Xenopus tropicalis: one gene and its partners. The protein of the gene in region 1 interacts with the protein of each later gene in a pairwise test. Links are inferred from orthologs where the notes say so. Each region holds a gene or a part of one and is shown in the gene's direction. Other genes may lie near its edges.

Region 1 (10,131 bases):
AGTACTACAGGAGTGCATTAGAGACTGCCATGAAGAGGGACTACAGGAGTGCATTACAGACTGCTATGAAGAGGTAAAACGGGAGTGTACTAGAGATTGCCATGGAGAAGACTACAGGAGTGTATTCGAGACTGTTGTGAAGAGGTACAACAGGAGTGTATTAGTTTGACAGGGGTGTTTTAGAGACTGCCATGGAGGGGTACTGTGCTGTAAATTAAATAAGCAAATTAGGTTTCACATCTGGTTCTGTATTTAGTTTAAACTTTTATAAAGTATCCCATTTAATCTAATAATTAATAATTAATTTGTTGCATCCCTAACAGAAAAATTATGCAGCTTTTCTCAGTGTGGTGTTTACTAAATTTACTAAAAATGCAATACTAATTTTGCCATATTTGTGCTTTGTTTTTATGCTAAAGACACAAATAGTTTTTCTCTACCAGTGCATTTTCGCCATGGAGATACAAACCCTCTGCCTCTTGTCATTGACCTAAGCTCATGACAGGACGTTTTTGACACAGAAATGCACAGTTTAGTGTTTTCTATTCATGTCAGGCATAATGGGTGGGGGGGGGGTTCTGTCAGCACTACATGCAACATCAGCCTTAAAATTTAATTTCAGAATAATTTAGATAGCTATGTTTTTCTCCTATAGTTTCTAAACCATATGTCTTTTAATTTAGCATTTCTCTACCTTACATTTTTGGTTGTTGGGGGCGTGAGCATAACTGACCCTGTTGAGTAGAACACAGCATAATCCAGAAACTAAATTTTGATTTAGTTGATTTATTTTTTTAAACCAAACATCAAGGGTATTTGCGACCCAAGAAACCAGATAAAAGTTTAAATTCAAACTAGAAAATTGTAGAACAAAAGGTTAAATATTTACCACAAAGACTAAAAAAAGACCAATTGTTAACTTCTTCAACTATCATACTAAAAGTAACTTCCAAGGTGGACTATTTCTTCAGGCAAGCAATTCATAGTATACTGGTCGCTAGCACACAGATTCGTGAATTTCAACTCTTTGGTCTTTGCACTTCCAGATACACACAGTTACTCAATTTTTAAGCAACTTCCCAGTGTGAGCTAACTTAACTTCCATCTGCAATCTATTCTAAATGCAGCAATTAGTACATATTGACAAAACTTTTTGATTAATAATAGCATCAAGGCTTCTGTACTATCATTGGAGGAATGGTCCTAATGGCTCCACCACATGATCTTTATATTGTGGTGACTGATAAAAGGCCTGGCTCTGTACTGACCAATTACTCAGTGTGTCTGCAGTTTATGTGTGGACTGAGATTCACATCTTACAGTAGCTACTCTTGGCATTTTCCAGAATATAAAGATTTTCAGTCTGGGCCTGCCACGTCTTTACAAAAAGGAGCTGCTTGTGCATGAATATAAGGGGCTACAGTGTGCCAGCAAGTCACCCACAAAGCAGTGTGGTACAATGCATTTTGTCTCTTAAGGGCTCTGGCACACGGGGAGTTTCCTACCCCTGCCATCCCACCGGCGAACATGTAAGTCGCCGGTGGGATAGCAGGGGTAGGCAACTCAGGGAGATTAGTCGCCCGCGAACAGGGAGTTTTGCCGCGGGCAACTAATCTCCCCATGTGCCAGAGCCCTAAATGTAAGTCACCGGTGGCATGGCACACGCGGCGGGAATTTCGGGAAATCGCGGAAAAAGACGATTTGCGTGAAATCGCGCCGCCGCGTGTGCCATGCCACCGGCGACTTACATTTAGGGCTCTGGCACATGGGGAGATTAGTCGCCCGCGGCAAAACTCCCTGTTCGCGGGCCAGAGCCCTAAATGTATAAAATCTGTGTAACAGAACCAGTGACTTGTAAAATTTCTTAAAAAATGAATTATGGAAAAAAAACTAGATTCAAATATATAATAGCGTAAATCGCTAGATTATTCAAGCTACGCCATACCTAACTAACTGTCCCGATTTTCGCGGGTCAGTTCCTCTTTTGACAGCTCAACCCGCAGTCCCAGATTCTTACTGAGGGCTGATGCCACAGTGAGCGTATGGCGTATATTTTCGGAAAACCGAAAACCGCTTGCCGAAAATTCCGCCATACGCCCCTACCTGTGCCTACACCCGAATGAATGAAATACGCTCGGGTGCAGGCACATGTAGCCGATATCTGCTGAAGATACAAAGTCTTGCGTTTTTTGGCGGATATCGCCTACATGTGCCTGCACCCGAGCATATTTCATTCATTTGGGTGCAGGCACAGGTAGGGTAAATGTAGAGTAGCTGGGCATAGTCTCGGCAAGCCTGTCTGGAATCAGGCGAAAAGTCCCTTATTTCCCTTTGATCTCCTGCACTGAAGCTAAAAAAGATACAAATTTAATTAAAAGTAGTTTTTTGAGAGCCCAGAAATCTTAACAAGCGTCACCTGCACTTAGAAACATTGTTTTATTAATTTAATAAGTGGGCTTTTGGCAGAGAGCCCAGAAAGGTAAAAAGCCCCCCCTGCACTGAGATACAATTGTAACTAATAAGCTAAACAGGTCTCTTAGGGGAACTGAGACTTGCAGCTTAAAGGGCAATATCACTTTTTTTTAACAAAACTGTAATAACACATAAAACAGGACCCCAAACCCCCCAGAAATGTGTTCAAACTTTAAATAACCTGCCAAATTTACTCAAATCGGAGTGGTATTTAGGGGATGTGGTCGCAAAAAAATGGGCATGTCCAACAAAATTCGCCACACTGCGTACGGCATTTATTTTTGTCCCTCTTTCCATTTTCAAAATGTTGGGAGGTATGCTACACAATTATTACGCATTCGGGTGCTTTCAATCCGTTCGTGGATTAGTAAATCGGCCCCAATGACTCAGTTGGGGGTTATGGATTTTAACTGAGAATTACCTTACGAAAACGATAAATATGATTAATTAGGTGATATGGCTGTTCACATGATCTTTTATCCTAACAATAATTAAAATACATTGTTAAGATCTAACAGACTCTCTCAATCAATTAAATACAAGATCTTTTTTGCATCATATCAAAATCACCCTAAAATTAAAAGTATAAATGCTCATGGACGATAGGCTCCTCGGTACATTATGTTATGGAAATTTCAGATACCGAAAGTTGTTTGAGGTGGTTCTGTCTTAAAGGCCATAGTTGACATAACTAAGGCTAGCTTGAGAACCGAATCCATCCGAATCAGGGGTGCCTTTGGGTGAATCTGCACAAACAGAATTTATTCTTTATCAATTAAAATATACCAATCAAATATTTATAGTACTGATAAAAACAGTATATGTAAGACACTTATAAATTTACAAGTAAGTACAGAACATAATGATTGAAGAAAGGCTTCTCTAAAGCCACTCTTGCGCCCTTTAGTGCTCTTGCACTTTGTCCCCTGGGGTCAAGAATGACCGCTATGGTATCATAAAGACTTTATGTCACATAATCAGTCCCAAGTCTCTAAAGCATTTGAAAATACCTTTTAAATTAAGAATGGTGGCTTTTAATTTTCCGCCAAAATTAAGCCATAATGACACATTGTAAAAGGTGTTACTATTTAAAGGTAATTTCTTTTGGGATGAGCAGCACCCCTTTAAGCCAGAAAATTAACTGAACTATGGATATACAGATATAGAATTCAAATCGAGGCACAAGGTATCTCTGGTGGTGCATTTATTTTAAGTAACTGGCACCACCCAAGGTATTAGCCTTTCCTTGTCCTTTAATAACTGTAGTGGCATGTATCATTTAACTGGCTGGCCTTTGCTATATTATCCAGATAGCATCTCTGCTTAGGAAAATGCACACAACCAGTGGCATGAATAGATGTCACTTGTCCCAAAAGAATTCAATTTAGGGGCCCAAATCGTTGGTAAATTGACCTATCCTATCAAGATATAGTAAAACTGCTCACTATTCAGGGCCGTGACATACAGGGAGATTAGAGCTGCCATGACAAATCTCTGTTGTTGCGGGCGACTAATCTCCCCGCAATGCCATCCCACCGGCTACAATGTAAATCAGCGGTAGGATGGCATACGCAGCGCCGCCATTTGCCAAAGTCGCCTTGAGAGGAAATGTCGGTGACTTCGGCATATCGCAGTGCCGTGTATGCCACGGGATGGCATTTGTTGTGGTGCAACTAATCTCCCTATGTGTCATGGCCCTTACTGGGCCCTCTACACTCCAGGGCCCCCCTGCAACCACATGGTCTGCCTCCTTTGTAGTTATGCCCCTGCTTTATTTTTTTTCTAGATAACAGATGTAGGTCATGACCAGTCATAGGACTTTTGAAAAGGAAGAGAACAAAAAGTTCCCATACAGCAGACTAAGCAGGAACTTCTGGATTTCCAATACGAGTCAGGTGACTAATGCATGTTGTGGCATATCTATTTTGCTGAGACAAATGCTTACTAGGGGCAGGTAGTCAGCCCATCCTCTAATAAGAATTGCATAGCTCTGGCAGGCTACGACCTTTGGTTTCATAGAAATCTGCTGCTAAAGCCAAACTTTACAACACTGCACGACTCTTCTGTTTAGCGCTGGGGTCCAGTGACACATCACGTGACTGAGCCCTGCATGAATGGAGCCCGGGGATTCTGTGGCGCGCTGTTACGTCTCATTTGTGGGGCGGGCCAAAGTGACGTGAGCAGGGACCCTGTCAGGAAGTTCTTCCTGTGGGCCGCCCAGACTCTTGTATTGCGCATGTGTCAGGTTCGCCATTTTGCAGTGTACTGTTGTGCTAGGTTTCGTTGTGCGGGGCGGGGGAGGCAGAGCACACAGGGCCGGCACTGCACGGAGGGAGGAAGCCTGGCGTACTTAACGTGCACTGCAGCAATTTAAGGTGACTCAGTCAAGTACGGAAACTGGGGCAATTATGGCGAACATCGCAGCACAGAGGATCAAAAGGGAGTTCAAGGAGGTGCTCAAAAGCGAAGAGGTGAGAGGAGACAGAAGTGCGTCTGGCTATATACAATGAGGGGCAACAATTGGTGACAGTGTGCTTAAGATAAATCCAGTAAACTGCTCTAAAGAGGTAGTATAGAAGGCTGCCACAGCCAGGCATGCCATGGGGAGGGACTATTGGAGTGTATTAGAGACTGATAGGGAGAGGGACTACTTGACTGTATTAGAGACTGCCTTGGAGAGGGACTGCAGAAGTGTATTAGAGACTGCCTTGGAGAGGGACTGCAGAAGTGTATTAGAGACTGCCTTGGAGAGGGACTGCAGAAGTGTATTAGAGACTGCCTTGGAGAGGGACTGCAGAAGTGTATTAGAGACTGCCTTGGAGACGGACTGCAGAAGTGTATTAGGGACTGCCTTGGAGAGGGACTGCAGAAGTGTATTAGAGACTGCCTTGGAGAGGGACTGCAGAAGTGTATTAGAGACTGCCTTGGAGACGGACTGCAGAAGTGTATTAGGGACTGCCTTGGAGAGGGACTGCAGAAGTGTATTAGAGACTGCCTTGGAGACGGACTGCAGAAGTGTATTAGGGACTGCCTTGGAGAGGGACTGCAGAAGTGTATTAGGGACTGCCTTGGAGAGGGACTGCAGAAGTGTATTAGGGACTGCCTTGGAGAGGGACTGCAGAAGTGTATTAGGGACTGCCTTGGAGAGGGACTGCAGAAGTGTATTAGGGACTGCCTTGGAGACGGACTGCAGAAGTGTATTAGGGACTGCCTTGGAGACGGACTGCAGAAGTGTATTAGGGACTGCCTTGGAGAGGGACTGCAGAAGTGTATTAGAGACTGCTTTGGAGGAGAATTACAGAAGTGTATTAGAGACTGCCGTGGAAAGGTACTATAGGAGTGAATTGGAAACTGCCATCAAGAGACTACAGGATTGTGTAGAGACTGCCATGGAAAGGGACTGCAGAAGAGACTACAAGATAGTGGTGTGGGGGTCAGGAAAAAGTCAACCTGCAACTGACCGTATCCCACAAATTGTTGCCGATATAGGATTTGCATTTAAAACACGTACTTGCGTCTTTCTACATTGTTTGCTGCTCTCGCCTTAGGTTCCAAGGAAGGGAAAGTTCAGGAGCAGAGGTGCTTCCCTAGTCTGACCCACACCCAACCTGAACCCACAACACCCCCCAACCCTAACCTGCCTGACCTAAGGGTAAAATGCAGGTTGTGGGTCAACCCGCTCATCACTACTACAAAAGTATGTTAGAGATTGATAGGGATAGGTTTGACATGAGTGTATCACGGGCTGCCATGGAGTTTTTTTTATGGGAGTGTATTAGGGACTGCCTTGGAACGATTTGACAGGAGTTTATTAGAGACTGCCATAGAGTGGGGCTGCAGAAGTGTTTAGAGTCATGTAGAAGGTACTAAAGGATTGTATTAGAGACATGGAAAAGTAGGACAGTTGTGTAGAAAAGACTGCAGTTCCCTCTGGCTCTCCCTTCCAACTTTTTCTCTCCTTATTAATGGCCCTTGAAATCCATTCAGTGAAACTTCAGAAATGAAATCAAAGGGGGATATTTATCAAAGTATTAAACTACAGCTTGCCATAGTCAGCCACAGTGAAATTTCCCTCATTATATTAATTTCTATTCAATTAGTGAAAACATATTTATCAAAGTGTAAACTCATTTATATGTATTGATAAATATACCCTCTAAAGTTTCATATTAATGTATAAAGAGTAGCAGAATTTCACTCTTGCAGACTATGATGACTTCTAGATTCAATCTTTGGTAAATATGTGGCTTCTGGTCATAATCACTGGGTAACTCTGTGAAACAGTGGAGTGCAAATTTGTTAACTGTAACTTTCTCGTGTGCGCTAGATCAAAGGCTGGCATTGCCGCATATCCTCCTGCCACTTTATGGAGAAACTTTCATTTGAGACAGCGTGCTGCCCATTCATTGAGAAGCTGCATCTAAAAATTGTTGCAGTTACAAATTAGGATTAGTAATATCGCTCACCATATTAAGAAATACACATTTTCTAATGTTATAAAGTAATTGCTTATTTCTTCTTTGTCCTCCATTTATTTTAGGTTAAGCAAGGGCCACAAAAGATTTTTAGAAAGTATCATAACATGCAGCACTACACCCCGTTTGTCTTCACTTAGCTTAAGCTGCAGTGTTCACCAGAGGTTTTTAGTGGTCATTTCTGCAATTTTACTTTCTCCATGAGCAGCAGAAGCTCCTAGCCCTGGACATAGGGCTAATGTATTTGATCTGCCAGATGGGTCAGTAGCCTGCTGACTCAATCAAGAATCGCAGCCAGTATTTGCCCTATGTATGGACACCTTAAATTCTGAACCTTTTATTAGGCTGAACCTGGTGCAGCTAGTTGGATTAGAATGCACATAATATCTCAGTGATACTAAGTGATATTTAGTAATACACATTGCTTTTTTTTTTGACGAGGGTCTGCTCAAGTTGTGCAAATAGATAAGTCCAGCTATGGCTACAAGCAGCCACAAAAGCTGTCTTGACTTCTTAGTAGAAAAATATATCCCCTTATTTTATTTTCATTTTCTTTATTGTTGGTGTATTTATTGGAATTTGGTAAATTATTAAAAGGGGAATAACACTCTAAAGTAATTTTATTTATTTTTTAACTCTTTATTTATATTTTTTATCAGGTTATGCAGATAGTCGCAATTCTGTGGATTGGTTAGTTAGGAAATAAAGAAAGAGGGGGGAATTTATTTATTTCTAAGTAAAGTGTAAGTCCCTCTTTATTACATACCCTCCTACAGGCATTCACCATATGTTTAAGGAGAACTGAAGCTCAACAATGAGTTAGACTGGAAATGATACATCTTATATTTTGTATTTCATTTCTGCTGAATCATAGCACATGCTTTGGGCTGCTGTCTGTTACCTGAGTTTAAGAAACAACTCGCAATATTCTGTATATTTAAAATTTACAGATAATTAGTAATTCTTATTCACATTATGTGGCTGGATAGAAACCAGTGCGTTCTGCAGCAGAATTGATTTGATAGATGTAGTATAAGTATCTATGACGGATGTTAAATATCTTTCTACTAATAGTTTGGCAACTCCTTATTGTAGCTTCTCAACAGAAGCTTAAAGCACACTGAGCATGTACAGTGTCGTTGACACTCAAAACGCTGGCTAACAATATAAAAAGATTTGAGAGCCCAAAGATTATAGTTGAATCTCTAAGTTGGTAAAGGCCTTAACTTCAAAGTTAGTTTAATGTAGGAATATATTTATACATTCCCATAGTATAGAGTATAGCTAGGCCTGTATAGCCAAGTTTGTGTGCCTATGCCCTGGGAGTCATTTAGAAGGGCTGATCTCTCTCAAATTTAAATTATCTGTGATGGCCATATTATCTTGGTTTTACCAAGCAATGGCTTTTTTTATGGAGCATCTCTGGTGTAGGAATGAATAATTGTTTTACACAGGCAGAGCTATAAAAATGTTTGTTTTTAGATCACAGATGTTTGTTTAAGATATACCCTTAGTGATTGGATGGTTGCCGGTGAGCTGCTGATTTATGGGTAGCTGCAATGACCTGCCTGGTGCTTAGTAATGCAAGGTGTGTCACATGGAATATGGTAAGATGGAGACTAGATAAACTGTGAGACGTCTGCACTTTCATTCCAGATAAGCTGGAAAATACCTCCTTATCACTCCCTTAAAGGAATTAACTCATGGGAGTAAATAACCCTTCTCCAGCAGAATCCTGCATTGAAATCTGTTTTTCAAAAGCATAAACAGATTTTCTTTTTTTATATTTAATTTTGAAATTTCACATGGGGCTAGCCATATTCTTCATTTCCCAGGGTGCCACAGCCATGTGACCTGTGCTCTGATAAACTTCATTCACACTTTACTGCTGTGCTGCAGGTTGGAGTGTTATCACCCCCCTCCCAGCAGCAACAATGGGAAGGGAGCATAGCAGTTCCCAATAGATATCAGAAAATCACAGTAAGAAATCCAAGTCCAGCTTGGGACTGATCCAGTTACATAGGAGTAGGAGAAACAATAGGTTACCTGAAAGCAGGTCTAATGTGTAGTGCTGGCTCCTTCTGAAAGCTCAGACTCAGGCACAATGCACTAAGGCTCCCCTAATTTCCCTGACAAGCTCTGTGCATTTGGCAGCATACAGTGGCGGTTACTACTTTTCCCTATGATGTTTATATTGGTTAACGGAGAGTTAGTGCTAAGTTTACAGTTAGGCTGTTTTCTTTGTAACAGAGGGATCTCCTTAGCTGGTAAACTGTATGCCCCCCTCACTTCTCTCCCATAATGCCTTGCTAATCCCACTGTCAGGTCTGCACTAGCTTTCCCCCCTTGCTTAGTTTAAACACTCCTCCAGCCTCTTAGCCATTCTCTCCCCTAGCACAGCAGACCCCCTTCCATTGAGGTTGCAACCCTTCAGGGCTATAGAGATTGTACCCTAAGTAAAAGTCAGCCCAGTGCTCTAGGAACCCAAACCCTTCCTTCCTACATGAAGACTTTAGCCACACATTCAGCTCCTGCTGTCTTCCTAAACTTGCACTTGGCACTGGCAAAACTGTCTTTGTTTAGCATGGCTCTAACATATTGACTCCCGAACCAGAGAATCTGTTTCATAACTGCCTGATTTTAAGTAATTTAATAGAGTAGCAAGCATCTTGTATTTGGTATTTATATGGAAGCCCACTGATCCAAACCAATATCTATGTACTGGGGGTAACTGTTGCTTCAGGAATTGGCCCTGTTTGATAATATTCTGATGCACCTTATCCAAAGTAAATGGATGGAGCATTAACCGATAAGGAGCGACAATCCTTCTGAACTTGCTGCTGTTGTCGTGGTTCAGGTTGCAGGCAATCTATCTGTTTCTACCATGGGTTAATTCCAATACTATGTCTTGTCGGCCCAGATACAGCTGCCTTAAAGGGACAGTAACACCAAAAAATGAAAGTGTATAAAAGTAATTACTATATAATGTAATGCTGCCCTGTACTGGTACAACTGGTGTGTTTTCCTAAGGGCTCTGGCACACGGGGAGATTAGTCACCCGCAACAAAACTCCCTGTTTGCGGGCGACTAATCTCCCCGAGTTGCCTTCACCTGCCATCCCAGTGGCATGGCACACGCGGCGGGAATTTCGGGAAATCGCCGAAAAAGACTTGCGAGGCTTTTT
Region 2 (10,131 bases), on another chromosome or scaffold:
GAGAGAATTGGAGAGATGGAAGCAACTCCTGACACATTGTATCCAGCACACTCCTCCTACAGAAGAATGGATGTATGTGATTTCACTGGCAGGGAATGAAAACCCTGTCACTGTGTGACACACACACTCCTCCTTCTGCACCTGGCTTCCCCTTCCTCTCTGTCCGCTCACTTCCTCCTCCCCCCTCCTCTGGTACACACAATCCCCTCCTCTTTCACACTCTCACTTATTCGGCTTTGCCTTCAGTGCATTATCCCACCCTCTGCCAGTTTTCTTTCTTTTACCCACTGTTATTTTCCCTTTATTTCCTCACTTTCCTTACAGAGGATTCTAACATATTTTGCCTCTCCTCATCATTGCTCCCATATACATTCCGTTCCAGTTCAAATTTCTTCCCCATCTAGGCATACTTAATTCTTAAAAGTACAGGCAAATTATATATTTTGTTCCCTGCATACCAAATCCCTGAACTCCCCTAGTTTCACATTATTCACCCCATCCTTTGCTTCACCCTTTTCCACTTAACTCTGTATAGCCTTTCATCTGTTTTCTATAACTACCTCTAGATTTCTGCCCTCCTCCTCTCCATCACATTCACTTCCTCTGTGGTGCTGATGTAACCACACTACCCAAATCTAGATAGTAATAATTAACACAGTGCTAAATGATAGGAGAAGGGATCTGTCAGTCACACCTCAGCCCCCCCCCCCCCTTCCCCAAGACTAAGTACTATGGAGTTGAGGTTCAATAGAAGATTTTACAATAATCTACGCAATAGAAAAAGGCAATAAACTAAGCAACAGAGAAGCCAGCTGGAAGGGGTTACAGGCGGATCAGACTGACTGGTGCAGGGGAACAGATAAAAGGGGTGGCAAAAGTTTAAAACAGATTATAAGAAAAACACAAACAGAACATACCATAAAAAAAATACAAAAATGAAATACAAAGGGCAGTACTGATGAATGAGAAGAGCTTCTGTAGATAAAAATAACCAAGACACAATAGAAAAAAAAACCAAAGAGGACATAGGAACAAATACAGAGACAGTGATAAAGGAAAGTAGAGAAATAGAGTAGGGACGGGTGGGGAGACAAATAAGGGAGAAAGGGGAGGGAAGAACAGGAAGAGGGATAACGTTTCAGAGGAGAGCTTCAGGACCGGTTAGGCAAAACACAGTATGGGAAGGGGGGATGGCACATAGAACAATTAAAAGCAAGAATCCAGTTTGCTGATGAGGGGGAAAACAGAGGAAGCTGTAAGATGCCCACTTCAATCTGCAGATATAGAGGGAGAACATAATAGGAAAGGAGGAGCTACAGCAATGCATGGTGGGCTTTGTAGTTTTAAATCCGGACTATGCAGTGCATTCTGGCTACTGTAGTCTTTGGTTCTCTTGTTCTGGTCTAAACTAAATCTCTTCTATTAAAGGAACAGTAACACTAAAAAATAAAAATGTTTTAATATAATTAAAATATATTGTACTGTTGCCCTGCACTGGTAAAAGTTGTGTGTTTGCTTCACAAAGACTACTGTAGTTAATAGAAATAGCTGTTGTGTAGCCATGGGGGCAGCCATTTAAATTGAAAAAAGGAGAAAAGGCACAGGTTACATAAGAAGATAACAGATAACTGTGTAGAATACAATGGGAATCTATGCTACTTATCTGTTATCTACTTAGTAACCTGTGCCTTTTCTCCTTTTTTCAATTTAAATGGCTGCCCCCATGGCTACACAGCCAGGGTATTTATATAAACTGTAGTAGTGTTTATGAAGCAAAAACACACTTTTACCAGTGCAGGGCAATAGTACATAATATATTAATTATTTTTATACACTTTCATTTTTTGGTGTTACTGTTCCTTTAAATGCCCAATGTCCTTCTGTTACAGTGAATTTCTCTGCATCTTTTTCATGTATAAGTTTATTTTTAGATATTTCTTATTCTGACTTTCAGCAGTGCTTTCCGTTTCTTGCACCCTGCTGCTCGGTGTCCTTTATGGGTGTATACAGTAAGACTTTTTAACCTCTATGGTTCTGAATTTTGCAAAGTGACAGGGGAAAATAAGCACTATGCTGTGGCTCAGGGGTTAGAACTATTGCCCTGCAGCACTTGGATTTTTCTGAAGAAAGCACTGTTAAAGTAGCTTGTAGTTCTTCCTTTTTCTGTGTGGGTGTCCTCCCACATTCTAAACACAGTCAAGCAGGTTATCTGACACCTATAATTTAACTTTAGGTGTGAAATTAAAGGGGTCTTAAGGCTACTGTCACAGGCATTGTTTTCTCTGCCAGGCAGAAAAATGCTGGTAGAGAAAATCCCTATTTGCCCCCCTATTATTTACGGTCAGTCAGAAAATGTACATAACACTGGGAAGTATAGAGCCAAAATTTTATTTTTTCCCACCTGCAGAAAAAATATGGCATTTGACAGTAGCCTGTATAGTGATATAGAGTCTATGAAAACCTCTGTATAAAGGTGTTGGCACTATATAAATAAAGGATAATAAAAAAAAAAAATAATCTGATCCCAGCAGGTTGATCAGCACATAGCCAGAACTCTGTCCAACTACATAGAGTTTTTAACACCTTGATGAGGCCAAAGGCCATTTCAGTTCTCACCCAGAATTTGTATCATTTGTTCAGCAGCACAAACTACCATAATGCTTTTTGCCAAGTGTATCGCCTTATCTTAATTAATTATATAATTAGTAACACAACACTTTAAGGGTAATGGTAGACAAGATTATTTGAGAGCCACATTTTAATGCCATGTTGTGACAGAGCTTGTCAAATTATCACTTGATAAACTTGTTGCTTTTTCAGACAACCACTGCCTGACAAGAGCGCGCAAAATTCAGACAATTTCAATGCCAGTCTATGAGTTGTAGTTTTAAGGCACTATGATGCAGCATTTTTGTCTATTTAAAAACAAAGTGCACAGAGCCTGACCCTTGTACCACTACACTAAAAGCAATAGCATGTTTTTCTGCACTGCTTTTTTAAGCAATCCATAACTGTGGCAACAGATAGCCTAAGGTCACCCACCACTTGCCGTACTCTGTAATGCTTGACACATGCTTGCAGTAGAGCCATTCAGTCATTAAATATAAATTGGTGGGTGTCAATACCTGACTTTGGGGCTGCATTTTTGACCTGCTTCTAAATGTGGCACTCCTATAAGGTCCAGACTGGAATTCAAAATATGTATGGGAATTTAAACTACAGAGACGCCCAAACTGCTCCCAGAAAGCCCAATAGATAACGATGGTCTGTCACCTTGCAGCAGCTCTTCTGCCATTTGCCAGAATCCACAGATTGCCAGTCCTGGCCTGACTCTAAGTGCCACTACCCTAAAGGTGACCATACATGTTAAGATCCGCTCGCTTGGTGAGGTCGCCCGTTGTTCCTGCCCCTACACGGGCCGATAAGCTGCCGAATTGGTCTAAGGGACCGATATCGGCAGCTACAACCGGCCCGTGTATGGCCACCTTAAGAGTTGTTTCTGTATGGTTTCATTATACAGGAACCACTTATCTTCAGATTCTAAGTAACAAAAAATGTATTTATTACAGTAATACAGTAACCTTACTAAAGGAAAACACATGCATTTATTGTATCTATAGTTATTAAAACAAAAAACTGTCATCTACAAAATTATAGGAACTAAATATATGGCATTTTGTCCTGCATTCTTACTACTATTACTTACATTTAAAATATCTTAATCAGGGTTTATCAAACTTGTTCTCAGGGAACTAAGATTTAGCCTGGAAGTCAGGCTTGGTGTTGCTTCAAGAACTGGTTTAGAATAAATAATAATATATAAATTTGAATCAGTACTGCCTTTAGTAGGAAGAAAATTCACTAAAGGAAAAAACATAGAAAACCACCTCCCCCCACCAAAAAAAACCAGTCATCGATTTTGTTTTCCGACCTACAGTCTGAACGATGCTAAATATAACCAACAGAATCTTCCGTTTACAAAGTAAAAGCTATAAATATAATATAGGGCTGGGTGGAAGTATGTGTGTGTACTTAAGCGTTAATAGCACAGATACAAAGTTTGCTTGCAGATTTTGCCGGTGACAGGCCTCTAAACACATCACTTATGAAACTATCGCATAATATTGCACAAGTTTCAATAAAATATATTGTTATCCGGTAGTTTATAAAATACGTATCACTGCTGGTAACTCTACTCGAATAATTTTACCATAACAGTCTTCACCTCCGATTACAAATAAGGATTGTTCATTATTGCCTTCTTTTAACAAGGAATAAAGTTTTTAACCTACAACAAAAAAAAACCCTGTGGGCCCGGAACGTGTATTCCACTCCCGCACGAACGCAAGACGCCGCGTCATAACGGTTATCCGAGACAAGAGGTGTCGTCAGCATTTGAGTGACGGGAGTTACAACCAATCGATGTCACGTATTATCCTAGTATCACCAATCAGCATTTTGACTGCTTGACAGCTAACTAGAAAGTGCATAGCCAATAGGGGTGCATAATTGTGATGGAGAACTTGTCCACCCTATCACACACAAGATTTGTTTATCTTTGCGTCCAATACACTCTTTAACCTTTCCCGTGACGCTCCGCTAGTTGCACAGCTAGGTTCCGGTTGATCGGTTGCCATGGCGGCGGCTGCTGGCAGCCCCGGTGCGGCTTATGAGTGTAATATCTGCTTGGAGACAGCGCGGGAACCTGTTGTCAGCGTGTGTGGGCATTTGTACTGGTGAGTGGAATGTGATGTGTCTGCCCTGTAGGCAGGTCTCTGCTAAGCTTGTTAATTCTGCTTTGCTGAGACTGTGTCCTTCAGTGGGTATGTATTTAGTTTGCTGTAGGAATGCATTGTTAGGGGGTTCGGCTACGGTCAGAAAGCTATCAGTAAAGTACAAGACCGAAATATTCAGGAAAGCTTCACCCCAACTGAAACTGTTCCCCTATAAAGGACTCAAAGCATTGGATGAGGGGAAAGAATGAGGCCCAGAGTACTAGTTGGAATGTGTTGAATGCTCTTAGAACCATATCATGTGACCTGTAGCTACAGCATGTTAAAGGGTAACTAAAATGCAATATAAGTTGCATGTCATGAAAAACAAACCTTCTAAACGTATTAAAATTTGCCTCCATACAAAAACTATTTTTTTGCAATGAAAAAAGGAAAATTGTCTGCAATGATTTAAAAAAATAAAATAAAATAAAATAAAAATGGAGACCTTACTGTTACATTGTTTCAATGTTTTCTGTTTTTTTTTTTTTCTTGAAGCAGGAGTCTGATTATGATTGACAATCATGTTTAATACAGCTATTGGGTGGGGCTCCCATTGCCTGCCATAGAAGATGTATTTGAGTTAATTCTTTCATAAAAGCAGACTTAAGCACAAATAATTCATGTAGAGGATCAAGATTGTGTGCGAGTTGGTTATTTTGAAAGAGTGATTTCCTTTAGGCAATTGGAATGCATCCCCAATGATGAATTAGTCCTCACTGACTACTCCATGAACAAAAAAAACAGACTGAAGAGTAACTTAAATATTAAAGAAATAGTACAAAATATATTTTTTGACCAATCATATTTTCTTAAGATAAAGCTGATTTTTATTTTTGCATCAGTTCCCCTTTGACATTTTGTAATCTTGTTATAAGCAAATTTTAACAGGTTCTCTTGATGTATTTTCACTGTACCCTGCAATCTTCTATGTTTAACCCAATCTTACAGTGAATATATTAATCCTTTCACTTATTGAGCCCCTTTGATCCACGCCATGATTTGTGTTGTTGGATTAAACTGAAACCCTGGAACTGCAGATTCTACATTGCTGGTACATATGTGCCTGTGCCCTGTAGATGCTTGAAATTAAAGGTGACAATTAGAGGATCCTTTGATGCTTGTTCTAGAAAATCAATGTCTTCATAATTCTACAATTGAATTATAAACTAGGCTATATCTGCAAGCACAGCCATTTTAAGCACAAATATTCCAATAGAACCTGTAAGCACAGCTGGTACAATATTGTTTTTTGTCTTAGCCAAAGAAAGTGCATTTTGCTTTACATATTTCATTATATCATTAAAACTCACTTGGCTTAAGCCAGAAAACGCAAAGTATGTTCAGATTCATATGTTTAAAATGAATATTTTTTCACAAACGACCGCAAGGCTAAACAGATAATGTGTCCAAAGTATAAACACTGATTTGTTAGTGTAAACAGATTTTGTTTATATGTATTGTATGGAAGAGACGCTTGTAAAATGCCACTGCTTGTAGTTTCTGTATGTGTGTTTATATAACAACGCTGATCGTTAAAACTGCATTGTGTTCTGTATTCTGATGTTATGTTTGTGTTTTACAGCTGGCCTTGTCTGCATCAGGTATGTATTTATTAATAAAAAAGTAGAATGAGTTAAATTCTTCTTTAGCTTTGTAGCAGCAGCAGCTAGCAGTGCTAACGGTTTCATTCAGATCACATGTTCAGTGTTACAGAAATATTTATTTGTAATAAAAGCATAACATAGATAAACTACTGTAGTATACATGAAGGGTATTTTATTTGTTTGTAGTAGTTCAAACCGTTTGCATATTGACTGCAACCTGTTCATATAGTGAAAAGTATGTATGTATGTATGTATATCTTAATTTATAAAGCGCTACTTATGTATGCAGCGCTGTACAGTACAATACATTAATACAAACAGGGGATTATTAAATAATAGATAAATACAAAGTACAACAATAAATACAGATAGATACAAGATAAATACAGTTGCAATAAGTTAAGAGTCAAAGACACAAGAAGATGGAGGTCCCCGTAGAGCTTACAATCTATATGGGAGGGTAACTTACAGACACAAATAGGCAAATGCACTATAAGTGCTGTAGGTCACAGTGGGTGACACTACAATATAAGTGCTGATTCCCAGATCAGGTGCTGGGTGAGTGCTCCAAAAGGTAGTCTTTAAGTTTAATTTTAAAAAGACTGGGGGAGGATTCTCTTCGGAGGAAATCAGGGAGGGCATTCCAAATGTAAGGGGCAGCAAGGCAGAAAAGTTTAAGGCGGGAAACAGCAGTAGTAGTGGGGGGCGCAACCAAACGATCGCTCTGTGAGGAACGAAGGAGTCGGCCAGGAACATACAGAGACACAAGGGAAGAGATGTAGTGAGGAGCAGAGGAATGGAGGGCTTTGAAGGTTAAAGGAACAGTAACACCAAAAAATGAAAGAGCTTTAAAGTAATAAAAATATAATGCACTGTTGCCCTGCACTGGTAAAACTGGTGTGTTTGCTACAGTAACACTACTATAATTTATATAATAAGCTGCTGTGTAGCCATGGGGGGCAGCCATTCAAGCTGGAGAAAAGGCACAGGTTACATAGCAGATAACAGATAAGCTCTGTGGAATACAATAGTGTTTTATCTGTTATCTGCTATGTGCCTGTGCCTTTTCTCCTTTGAATGGCTACCTCCATGGCTACATAGCAACTTATTTATATAAATTATAGTAGACTTTCTGAAGTAAACACACAACTTTTACCAGTGCAGGGCAACAGCACATTATATTTTAGTTACTTTTATACACTTTGATTTTTTGGTGTTACTGTTCCTTTAAGAGAAGGAGTTTGTAAGATATTCTTTGTTTAACAGGAAGCCACGATAAGGACTTTAGCAGGGGAAGGGCCTGAACTCTCCTGGATGAGAGGAGGAGAATTCTGGCAGCAGTATTTAATATAGACTGTAGGGGGGAGAGATTGGAGTTAGGGAGGCCGGTTAGTAGCAGGTTACAGTAGTCAAATGAAAAGTGAAATAAAACACTTGCCCCACAGGAAGCAAAGGCTTGTGTATCTTTTAGGGCTCTGGTACACGGGGAGATTAGTCGCCCGCGACAAAACTCCCTGCTCGCGGGCGACTAATCTCCCCGAGTTGCCTTCCCCCTGCCATCCCACCGGCGTACGTGTAAGTCGCCGGCGGGATGGCAGACGCGGCAGCGCGATTTCGCACAAATCGGCGAAAAAGACTCGCGAGGCTTTTTCTGCGATTTTCCCCGTGTACCAGAGCCCTTATAGGTATTACCAGCTTCTAAACTTCCTGTGGCTTTCCTTACATTACAATTGGTGTTCTAAATGATCAGAACAGAGGGGAAGCCTTTAATCATATGACTTATTTAAACTTAAAAAAAACTGATTGACCCAGAGCCTTCATCCTGCTTAACAGTTTGTTAAAAAGACAATACGTTTGAAAACAGCTGTCACTCTCTATCTCCATATATTTGCCATTGTGAATCCAAAGCCAGGTTCAGCTTTTAATAAGGTATGGAGCAGTTCATGTAGAAGAGCTTTTATTAACTGTGGTGTATCATGTTTATGTTTAGACAAATCAAATTTGTCTAAATCTGCTGCAGAGTCTTGGTGCACTTAGCTTATGTAATGGGAAAGTAACCCTGCCATTGGTAATATCTGCGTCAGGGTTCAACACATTAGTAAGAAGGTGTTCTTCTGTGGTTGGGGGGAGCTGGGATGAACCTAGGAAATGAACAATTAGTAATGACATGATTCACATAGTCATGGTGACACATTCCTGAAAACTGAAAGGTTTTACTGTATATTCAAAATGCCCACTTGATGTTGGTTGAGAGGAAAAGTGATAAAGAATAGGGTAAACAGGACCTGCAGAGAAGGAAATTCAGAAATTCAAAACAGAAGTTAGAGAGAGAAAGAAAAGATGGTAAGAAAAGATAGTAATAGGGCTGGATGAGTTGCAGTGCTCTCACAGTAGAGAAAAATTAGTTGGGGTTTCATTTTAACCCTTGTCAGAAGTAATAACTTCTTAGTGATTTATGTTTAATATGTCTTTTTTTATGAATGATCAAAAGTAATGTTAGCTAATAAAAATGTTCATTAAACAGACATTGCAGTCAGTTTTTGTTAATGTGTCACATACTGCAATATAATTATTGGCCCAAAACTAAGACTTATTTTGTTGTTACTAGTGGTTGGAGACCCGACCGGATCGCCAAGAATGCCCTGTTTGTAAGGCCGGTATAAGCAGAGAGAAGGTTATTCCTATTTACGGCAGAGGAGACAGTAACCAGAAGGACCCAAGGTAGCAAATATGTTATAAGGCTATAAAATTATATGGATGAGGCCCATAAGGAATTTTGTTTGCAGTGATCAGATGAAGTGCTCTGCCTATGATTGCTAACAACAGAAAGCACCACCAGTAATTTTTAGCTATAGTGTAGCTTTTAGTCAGTGGGAAGCAGTCATGGCATTTGTGTTGGTATACTAGAAATTTGGTCAAACAGCAGGCCTGTCAGCAGGTAATTGTGCATACAGAACTTCTCACAAAGGACCAGCATCATATATAGAAGGACTAAACCAATATTTACTATAACTTACTATAGTAAATGTTTTATTATTTCCTATAATATTTCCATGTTTCTCAATTTTGAAGCATTGAGAGAGATATGTAAATAGACAATTTTATTAATTAAATAATAGGCGTTGGCAGAATGAGCGTGAATTGTTTAGTATATTGTATGATTCTGAGTGCCCCCACATACCATAGGAAGCACACCTACAACTAAATATTTGTATATTTTTATATAAATGCACACCTATGTATGATATATGTAAGCCCATGTTTATTCTTTTGATTTCTTACTTTTCTTTCCTGTCTTTGAAAGATTGAAGACTCCTCCCAGACCACAGGGACAGAGACCAGAGCCAGAGAACAGAGCAGGAGGAGTATGTTTTTTATATGAGTTGTACAGGGTGGGCCATTTATATGGATACACCTTAACATAATGGGAATGGATTCCCATTATGTTAAGTATCCATATAAATGGCCCACCCTGTATATTTCAGTTATAAAATGTTTTCAGGATTGTGACTTCAGCCACCGTTTGTGAATAACTAGTTGCTCTTGCACTCGCTCTGGCTTCTTAAAGTCTGAAGTCTTAGGGGGCAGCAACTATTGTGGGAACTCTAAAACTAATCCTGTTGCTGGAAATGAAAATCCAGAAGGACTGTGACCCAGGAATGCAGCATGATACTGTGGTGCCAAAGAATTACAGTACATAGGGCACTTGCACATAGGTCTGTTTGACTTGCACGAGATAATAAAATTACCTG
Region 3 (10,131 bases), about 19 Mb from region 1:
GGGGGTATAATGGGAATTGTAGTTTAGTATTCCCCCAGGCCAGTCTGTATGTATTTATCTGACAGATTGGCCTGGGGGAGTGCAGTCTGAATCTAGTCATTGTTTAGGCCATTTTTTTCATAAATGTTCAGTTTATAGGACTGATAACACCAAACTCTTAAAGAGTTTTATATACAGTTAAATAGTATGTATTGTCACTGTACACTGGTAAAAATAGTGTGTTTCCTTCATCAAAACAATTACTACATTTATGTAAATTGGCTATGGCCTACCCATGTGGCAGCCAATCAAGCTGAAACAGGGCTCTAGGGCATATGTCCCCCCTGCCTCTGCCGCAAAATAAGTATTAATGCAGACTTTTTAACATTGTATTTATTTCTGTAAATCTTGCGCTCAAAGGTGGCAATCGGCTGTGATTTTTTTTGCTATAAATCACCAAGTGAACAGATTGTTGCATTGCGTTAAAAGGATCAGGCAGTAAGTGGGTCATTAATGAATAAGTAATGAAAGAATTCTGTTTTTTTTATGAATTTAGCTATTAAATTAAATGCACAGATGACCAGATGTTATGCTTTTCTATGTGCTTTTTTTTATTTATTTTTTTGTCATTACTGTATTGGATAAAAAAAAAAATCTAAACTGTATTGCTGCTTATGCCAGTTTGACATATGTGGTTGCCCATGTGGTTTTGTACGTTGTTATTATATGTAGACAACTAATATTTTACCATGCCTCTATACCATGGCCAAGGATGCAGAGATCGGCAATAGTTAAAAGGGGACCTGTCACCCTAAGAAATAATTTCAAACTCTTAAGTCAAGCATAATAAACTTCACTTACACTATATAAATGATTTAAATCTTGTTTCCTCCATTCTTGGAGTTACACAACTACAGCAAGCAGGCAGGAGCCATTTTGTTAGTAAGGCAAGCTGTGCCAGAATGGGGGACCTGATGCCAATGCTTGCTACACAATAAGACAGTAAGGAGGGAGGGGGAAAGTGATTGGCTGCCCCACCTCTATACCTAAGGCATTTAGGCAGGGCAGGCAATATATGATTAATAGCTGGGATTTTTAAATGCCTCTATAATGGGTATGGATATGTTAATAAGAAAAGGAATTTGGGTTTCATGTTTAATTTGAACAGGACTTTTATTATACAGATTTTATTTCTGGGTGACAGGTCCCCTTTAAGTGGCTTTCAAGATTGTGGCTGTGATTTTTGGCGTGATGGTAATTCAAAATGATGTGCTTCAGAAGGGGTTCTGGGGACTAATGTAATTAAATACAGAACAAATGTACTCATTACACACTAAAGGAGCAGGGGGCTGGACTCAAGCAAGAGGTCATATTAGCCCGTGTTCTTGTATGCAGAGTGTGAGAGTGGTATGAGCACTCTGGAGAGGAAAGCAGGTCAAATATAGTGTGTTCCCCCTCATAAGTCAGTCAGCCTTGAAAATGGTATGATGTTAATTTTTAAGTTGTCTTTTCCTTTGTTAGTGGTTTTTGCAGAAGGGAGAATGTGATCAGTGACCGCTGTCCAGGTACAGGTATGGGACCCCTCATCTGGAAACCTGTTATCCAGAAAGATCCGAATTACAGAAACGCCGTCTCCCATAGACTCAATTATAAACTAAAATAACTCTAATTTTTTAAAACGATTTCCTTTTTCTCTGTAATAATAAAACAGTACCTTTTACTTGATCCCAACTAAGATAAAATTAATCATTAGAGGCAACACAAACGTATTGGGTTTATTTAATATTAAAATGATTTTTAGCAGACTTAAGTTATGGAGATCCAAATTACAGAAAGACCCCTTATCTGGAAACCCCCAGGTCCTGAGCATTCTGGATAACAGGTCCTATACCTGTACCTCAGGTGTGATGGAGGCATGCATATGTAATAACCATTCACAAAATAAATACATACAGATGTTAACTGAGATAGGGGGGCAGTATACCCCCTTTTTCAACATGAGTTGAACGAATAGTGTTTAACATACTCTTGCCTCTCTTTAGGAAATTTTTTTTTTATTTCTTGCACTAAAAAGACCTAACAGGCTTCAGCTTAGCTAATGGGGGACTGTTGATTTATTTTAATTGTGCTCCTCCATATCTGAAGTGAAATGTGACAGTGCTCTTCAATATAAAACATAAAATATAAAACATTTTCAAAAGGTTTGAAAATGTTTTTCCCGTTAATTAAATAGTCTATTACAATAAAAACTACACATCTTCAGAATAAAGGGCAATATACAAATTTAGCAATATACAGAGGACATTTATCTCCAAAATTAAGGCACGTTTTTTTATAAAGACTAAAGCTGGCCACATATGTGGCGATTTTCAAATTTTCATGCGACCATCAGTCACACGAAAGATTGTTCCAACCCCCCACTGACGTTCAGGGATGAATTGTCAGATATGGAGGTAGAAACAATAGGATTTCTACCTCCTTCTGTCGAATCAGCCCTCGAGGCAGATTTTACAATCTTTTAACCCGCCCGATCAGCGAGTCGACCGATATCAGCAGCCTTCTGTGATATCGGTCGGCTTGCCAAGTTGCCATAAACGCACCGAATATCGTACGAAACAAGGTTTCATATGATATTATCATTGTGTGTATGGCCAGCTTAAGTGTAAACCTTGGAAGATGTTTCCCTTCATTTTGTAGACTTTGAGATTAGCTTATTTGTTTATTTTCCCTATACTTTATGGAATTTGGCAACTCAGTAAGTAAACTGTTTTTGTTCTAATTCACAAGGGCAGGGTGGTGTTTTCTTTTTAATGTGAGTTTGCTCTTTATTTAAAATTTTAACCTGTTAATTGCAAGCAATATAAAAAAATATACTTAATGCTTTAATTAGAAAATATGCATTAAGGATGTCGTATTGGCCCAAGGGGCCGTGGCCCCCATGCCTAGAATTCTTGCACCAGTTCCTTGAAAAAAGGGGATATACTGCCCCTTTAAAGACCTCAGCAACCTGCTGAAACTAGACAATGTACTACTATAATCTCAAGGATGCTTATACAAAGCCATATGAATGTGCATCTCTTGAAATACATGCTGAATGTATCAACATATATTTCATGGTTTTTTTTTTGCTGCAAATAAATGGGTACTCCTGGGTGCATATAATCAAATGTCGAACATGTGAAAAATCATGTCTTAAGCGCCTATAGACCTACTATACCCTTTTAACAGATTGTTAAGCTGTCTGCTCTGTATAAGGTTATGAACTTGTTAGACCATTCTAATCTAACTGGGTCTTTGTTGTGTTTACAGCTGCATTACTCATTTGAACCTAACAAACATTAAAATTAAAACAATTGCACAAAATAAGCTAATGATAGATCTTATTTAAATTTCTTCTTAATTACTTAATAATCAGAAATATGTTGGCGTCTTTACTCAAACAGCACATTTACTAGGTCACTGCTAACTACATGCTTTTTAAATGTTCATTAGTATATTGTATATCGCTCTGCATTTATATCGCTTCATAAATAAATCTGTCTCTTATAGTGGTGCATGCCACAAATCTGTAGCAGGTGGCCAGCAGAAAAGGCTACTGTCCTGTATAACAAAGATTTTTTTTTTTTTAATTCTGGCATAAAATGGTCTTTGCTAAAGATTATAAAGGGACAGATTTTCATGTTGTTCTGGAATAAAATGTGTATCAATTTTACCAAGCCCTTTTTTTATTATTATCTGGCATTTTTGGCTGAGCTGAACATTTCCCACTTATCTTTTCCCCCTTTCACAGAAATTCATGTAGCTATTGTCCCTTGACTCAGCGTATTATGCTACTCATGTAGGAGCCTGAGAAACACCCCTCCAGCCTTTACACCAGCCCAGTCATTCCTCAAACTGCTGACTGATGCTGTGAGGGTGAGAGAGAAAAAAAGAAAAGACAAATCCCTTTGCAGCTTGCTGCTGCATCCCCATCCCACAATGCTTTGCCTCTTTTGCTGCAGTCTTTCAGTTCCAGCTTCCCAGAGAAAAGCCATGCACTAAATAAAGATTGATAGGTTTGAATTCTATCGAGGGACTCTAAAATAATCAATGACCCAGAATTCTGTTCCGGGTTTTTCACCTCTGTAGCTGATGAGAGAGCTGCAGCTGCCTATCTTTTTTTCTGCTACGTTTTCCCTGTGCGTCACTGCTGTACCAGGAATCAAGCATCAGCCACTGATACACGGCTGTTTGAGAATGGCTTTCACATGGAGGACTGCTTGCCCTGCCTCTCCCTGCAGTGTGCCTGGAAATCTTTACTAGCAAGGATGATGCTTTTCCCTGTGGGATTTTCTGTCTCTCGTTGCTACAATAGAATTTCAGCCCAGTATTTTTGCTGACTACATGGAATTGCCAACGACAATGGGTATGTATGCCGTGAATCAGGTGAGGCTGTGGTTTTGGCTGGTGTTATGAATTGGCATATGCACCTGCTAGGTTTCTCCTAATAATAGCGGGTTGCTTGGGGGTGAAGCAGCTGTGTGTTCTTGGGTAACAATACAGAATGGGTCCTCTTGTTCAGCCATGAGTGCGATTATTGTGTTTATTGTGGCCACTGCTGTTCCAAAAAGGTTGCAATTAAATGGTTAAATGTCCTTTATTTTTCATCTGAAAAAGAGAAACAAAAAAAGAAACCGATTCCCTTCCCACCCACTAAAACATCAGCTTTGTACTTGGCTGTGCTGGGATGTAATCACATTAGAAGCCTCTCCCATCACTGTCCATTATGAGATGAATGGAGATAGACGGCCCCTGGACTCAGCTGCTACATAGCTCTGTGATGTGCCTGGGTGGGGAGCAGATGGCAAGGCAAGCATTACTAGCTCTTGGCAGCCATGGCACATTCTATAATAACCTGGTGGGATTCCTTTGGGCACAGCATTTCTTACGTTATATTACATAACATTTTTTGTTGTATCAGCTGATGGATGCGTTTGGTTATAAGAGAAGCAGCCTGCACAGATTGAATGTTTCATGGGAAACCTGTCAAATCTGTGTGTAACTGAATAGCATGCGGTTTATCCGGTTCAGTTACTACTAAGAATGATTCCTCTTTTGAGTTACATGGTGTGAGTATTAAGGATGCACCAACTTTGTCATTTTTTGATTCGACCAAATGCTTCATGAAAGATACTACCAAATACCAAATCGAATCAGAATCCTTAAGGAATTGTATAATTCTTTTTTTTAACAAAAAAAAGTGATGAGCTTTAAAAGCTCTATATATTCTGGGGCAAGTTTATTGTTATTATTATTTATGATTAGTGTATGTCATGGAAGGGTTAACTTTCCATTAACCACCCTAAATTATATGGCAGAGGAAGGTAATGAGCCCTATCTATACTACCAGTATATAAATATTTGCCTGTTACGCCAAGGGCTGTATATGCCAACTAACCCATGATGCAGAAATATTTGCTTTGTTAATCCATGCTGTCATTGATGTCAGCAAAAACATTTTATTTTAAGAGTAAATTAATGGGGGAAGCTAGTATATTTTTGTTTAATAAAGTAGGAGACAGGGATAAAATGTGTATTTATCCTTGCATAACTCCTATCTGCTTAATTCCAGTGGAAAAAAAAAAAAATCATGACTGAGTTTTGCTTTCTGCCACTAATCCTGATAGTTCCAGTCACAGCAGGACATATCAGGCTTATTCTCTGAGTGACAGTAAAATAGGTACCGTATCCATAAATTTAGAGTTGTCCGGAACAGCATTATATTTCTATAACTGCTGTAAATTGCAAACAACTGAAAGAAATAGACATTATTTGTGTATATATGGTTTATATTTAGCCCTTTAATAAACCAGCTTGTACCTCCCATAGATATGTAACAGATGGACATGTTACTTTAGTAAAGTAGATTGCTTTTATCCCTCATCTGATTTTTGAGCGAACCTTGGCTTTTTTCTCCAACGTGGGTGTATTACAGCAAAAGCAATTTAACAGAATTGGTTTGAGACTTTTTTGTTATGAACTAAAAGATTAAAGATAAAACCTGCTTGGACCATTATGAGTGAAATTCTCATTGATGGGGAAATATTAGTTTTAGTTATAAACACAACTGTAAATTATATATTTGTAACTTAAGACATAAAGATCTGACCCTTAATGTAAACATTGGTTGATGGTATTGCCTCCTTGCCTCGAATACCCGACCCTAAAAATGTTCATGTTACTAATGCCACCTTGGCCCCTGCATGTGAGAATAATGAGACAATAATGTGACAAATGAGTAGATCATTTCTATTTGGCCATGATTTGGATAATATAATGTTTGCTTCACATATTGCATTTGTGTATCGCTCTGTTACTCAGTACTCTGGGAATTCAAAATTTAAAACGGTTATACTGATTTCACGAAATCCAAATATATTTCAGCCAGTCTTACCTTTTCCTGGTGATAATGCTCTTTGTACTAGTCTGGGTCCTAAAACAATAGATTCTTGACATCCCTACCAACTACATTGTACTAGTAATGTTAGTTGCCATGCTTCTAGCCTCACTAGTAACAGTCTCCTTGAAGGAGAAGGAAAGGGTTAAAAGTGCGACCCCATAACTAGAAAGGCCTCAGGTCCCTGTAGCTGATTGCTACCTTATTTTTACCTCGATAGCCTGTATATTGCCTGCACTCTCCGACTTTCATAAACACTATATTTCGCCTATTGCGGCCGCCATGTTGGATATTTAAATTAGTCCTACGTGGCGCCGCGTAAGGAAATGCGCATGCACAAATCTTCTCCCTCCCCCTAGACGCAAGCGTGACCTACTCTACCCTGCTTGTGTAATTCAAAGCGTGTTCACAGCATACTGTATGTTAAATGCGCATGCGCTTACTGAGTAGCTGGTCTGGGTCTCAGTACAGCAGCGAGGCATTACGTGAACTTTCTTTACACAGCTCAGCGTTTTTTCTTCCTGTTTGGCTTCTGATCATCTGAACAGGCAAAATATGGGGAGACTTAAGGGCACTATTGAGATAACTGAAGGTATGCCTGCAGCTTGAGATTAAGTCTTTACTAGCCTTTCCTTCTCCTTTAATTAAATATCACCCATAGGGTGAAGACACATGGAGCTACAAGAAGCAGCTGCTTGTCACGTTTACTAAAAGCCAGAAAATACTCTGCCATAGACAATACTGAGAATTGCCTCTGCTTAAGCTCATGTAGAGATAATTATCTGTAAATTATCAGCATTGATAATTTACTGCTAATTGTCTACGTGTGTTTTAGCAGAAGCAATTCTCTGTGTCTACGGCAGGGTATTTTCTGGTATTTAGTAGCCATGACGAGTAGCTGCTACTAAGTAGCTCTGTCTGTCTTCGCACATAGAGGCCACAAATAGATAGTAATGTATTGAAGCTCATGAAGCAGCAATATAACTGCACCATTCCTGAATTTAGACGCATATGTGAAGAGAAGGAGATTTATTGGAAAACCTGTATATCTGAAATGTATAAATTCTGCTGCTACTATTGTAGGTACTGTAGTAAGTTAGCTATTTCTGGGTTTGGCTGTTCTGTATTTCAGAATGCTAAAGGCTTTTGTTAAAATGTATGTAGCCCATTGACTGTCTTCTTTAAGGGCATACTTTAATTATTTTGTGTGTGTAACATGATTTGAAGAGCTTTCCTTAAATGATCAGAGCCAGTTTCTCTAAACTAGACTCCATTATACTGTGACTAATCGGGCACAGAAATTCCTTCCTTCCAGAACTGAATACAAAGAGAGCAAGTGCATTGCTGAGAATGCAAAAGAAAAGCCTATTTGATTCTGGGTCCTAGCCTGTGCATTAGTCTCTGAATTAACTCCTTATCACTCCTTAGTATTCAGACACTTTGTTTTAAGGTACTAAATATACCCTGTCGAAAATTAGGCTTAGTTATAGGGGTTTTTATATTGTATTGTCAAAACATTCTTGCAGTTCTGTTCAGCTGCTTGTTTAAAAATAGGAGAAGAATATGAGAAGGATGAGAGTGTAAAAGGGATGCAGAAGGGGAAGGTAAATACGTAAGGAAACCGTGTCAGAGAAGTGGATGAGAAGAAAACAGTGAGAATTTGGGAGAGTGGATACATTTGTGAAGAGAGAGGGTAAAAATGAGAGGGTAGAGAGAAGGGGGGAAATTATGAGAACTATAAAGCTTACCAGGAAAAGGTTGAGCAGATTGACTAGTGGATAAAACAAATAAAAAAATGGGGTGGGTGGGAGCAGAGTCGGACTGGCCCACCAGGATACCAGGAAAACTCCCAGTGGGAGTGCTTCTAACTATTTAGTCTATTTCATGGTCATTCCCTATTTCTGTATGGGAGCAAGGTAGATTAAGAGATGAAAGAATAGAGTATAGTATGTAGAGAAAAGAGACTAGGATAATAAAGAGTTTGAGGGAGGAGAAATCTAAAGTTTTGAGAGTAGGCCCATGGTCCAGCGTTTTCTGGTGGGCCCCTGCCATCTCAGTCTGACACTGGGTCGGAGAGACAATTGAAGAGAATTATAGAAATAGAAGAAAATATGGGAACATTGAAGCAACATGGGGGGGAAAAGGAGTAGAAACCTAGCAAAAAATTAAGAAAAACAAGGGAAGAAAAGAAAAAGTAGAAGAAAGAACAAAAGGAGTGAAGTAGATGTATTGAACAACAAAATTAAATTATAAGTACCATAAGTATATCTATGTTGATGTAGGTCTGTGCCCTGGGTTGTCTATCAGTGCCCCAGGTGACAGTTTACAGATGGAAGGAGAACAGTTTGATCACATTAGAAATGTAATCACTCTAATCTAATCCACTGGCTTGGTACAGCAGAGATAGGCAGGGTAAATGCATGTGGCTAACATTTTATACATTGTGTATGGTTTGTTTTTTTTTTCACTTTAAAACAGATTCTGCCTGCACAAGCTACACCAGTCATCTCATGCCACCTTGCTGCCAATCCCTCCCCATAAAGATACCTCCTGCACCTAACACTATATCACAATGTGTTGAGGTAGCTCACAGATGCTCCCCCGCATACATAGGTTAGGTAACTAGTGTCACGTAGCTAGTACAATAGGGAGTCACTGTTGTAAAAACAGGTCAGTGCCATTGGGATTATTTCTGAGCTAATGCGTTTCAGAATAATCAATATAAACAAAGGCTTAAAGGTCAGTCATATGCAATTTGCATTAAAAAAGCTCTAGATTTTTTATTGATTTTTTTTTTTTTTTCAAGAAATGGGATGTTTTAATATGTTGTCTGTATTGCTGTGAGATTTCCATGTGACTTATCTTAGGTGTTTGACTCCAGTAGTAGGACTGGCTACTTAACTATAACTGTCTTTACATAGTTATAATTTGGATATTCCATATACCGATTTGCATATAATTTTCACATTTACAACACAAGTCAATGTAAACAGAAACTGACAACAAGAGAGGTTGCCCTGAGCCTTGTTGTATACAGCCTACATTACTAAATATTAAATGGAGGGAAAATGGGATTAAATTATGCATACATTAATTTATTTGTTATTAACATTTATTTATAAAGTGGCAACATATTCCGCAGTGCTGTACAATAAGTTCTTGTCAATGCTTCATATCAGTGCTAGCTATGATTATGAGCATTCTGTCACAGTTGTCCTGGTTCCTATATGTTTATTTGACTGCAGCTTTTAGAACACTTGGTTATGTATTAAAAGGCACAACATTTGCCCAGAGTAGTAAACCACAGCAACCAATTGGCAGGAAGCAATTTTGGTCACCTGTTTAAAAGCAAACAACTTATTGGTTGCTATGAGTTACTGCTCCTGGGCAAACTTTGTGCCTTTTATTGCATATGGAAATTAGGGCAGTGCCACACATTCTTGGGCAGATTTACATTAAAATGAACATTTTTCAATTGTTATTGTTGCAAGTACAAGTCATGACAATTCTAGGTGCAAATCTATACCAAAATGGACCAATTTGTAAATGGAAAACAAATTTGCACATGGGTGGGGCATTCTCCACATTCACCTCAATTGTGCAGGATTTCACAGGTGCCAAACAGAATGGCCAGATGCATTGTGCAAATGAAATATTGAATTTAATGTGAATTTAATGGGAAGTGTGCATCAAAGAAAATACAGATGCAAGTGATT

The links.
Region 2: the proteins of ube2k (region 1) and rnf5 interact in binary tests that used the Homo sapiens proteins (3 or more experiments, as listed by UniProt). The link is inferred for Xenopus tropicalis from reciprocal best matches to the Homo sapiens genes UBE2K and RNF5.
Region 3: the proteins of ube2k (region 1) and trim2 interact in binary tests that used the Homo sapiens proteins (3 or more experiments, as listed by UniProt). The link is inferred for Xenopus tropicalis from reciprocal best matches to the Homo sapiens genes UBE2K and TRIM2.

Annotation. Positions count from the first base shown.
Region 1 is NC_030677.2:36,217,308-36,227,438, forward strand, and holds the start of ube2k (ubiquitin-conjugating enzyme E2 K), read left to right. Parts: upstream 1-4,769; 5' UTR 4,770-4,880; coding exon 4,881-4,943; intron 4,944-10,131. UniProt on the Homo sapiens protein: Accepts ubiquitin from the E1 complex and catalyzes its covalent attachment to other proteins. In vitro, in the presence or in the absence of BRCA1-BARD1 E3 ubiquitin-protein ligase complex, catalyzes the synthesis of 'Lys-48'-linked polyubiquitin chains.
Region 2 is NC_030684.2:73,544,507-73,554,637, reverse strand, and holds the start of rnf5 (E3 ubiquitin-protein ligase RNF5), read left to right. Parts: upstream 1-4,622; 5' UTR 4,623-4,635; coding exon 4,636-4,736; intron 4,737-6,357; coding exon 6,358-6,376; intron 6,377-8,987; coding exon 8,988-9,100; intron 9,101-9,683; coding exon 9,684-9,744; intron 9,745-10,131. Other genes in the region: agpat1 (1-acyl-sn-glycerol-3-phosphate acyltransferase alpha), read right to left, coding at 4,293-4,395. UniProt on the Homo sapiens protein: Membrane-bound E3 ubiquitin-protein ligase that mediates ubiquitination of target proteins. May function together with E2 ubiquitin-conjugating enzymes UBE2D1/UBCH5A and UBE2D2/UBC4.
Region 3 is NC_030677.2:55,159,018-55,169,148, reverse strand, and holds the start of trim2 (tripartite motif-containing protein 2), read left to right. Parts: upstream 1-4,090; 5' UTR 4,091-4,384; intron 4,385-10,131. UniProt on the Homo sapiens protein: UBE2D1-dependent E3 ubiquitin-protein ligase that mediates the ubiquitination of NEFL and of phosphorylated BCL2L11. Plays a neuroprotective function. May play a role in neuronal rapid ischemic tolerance.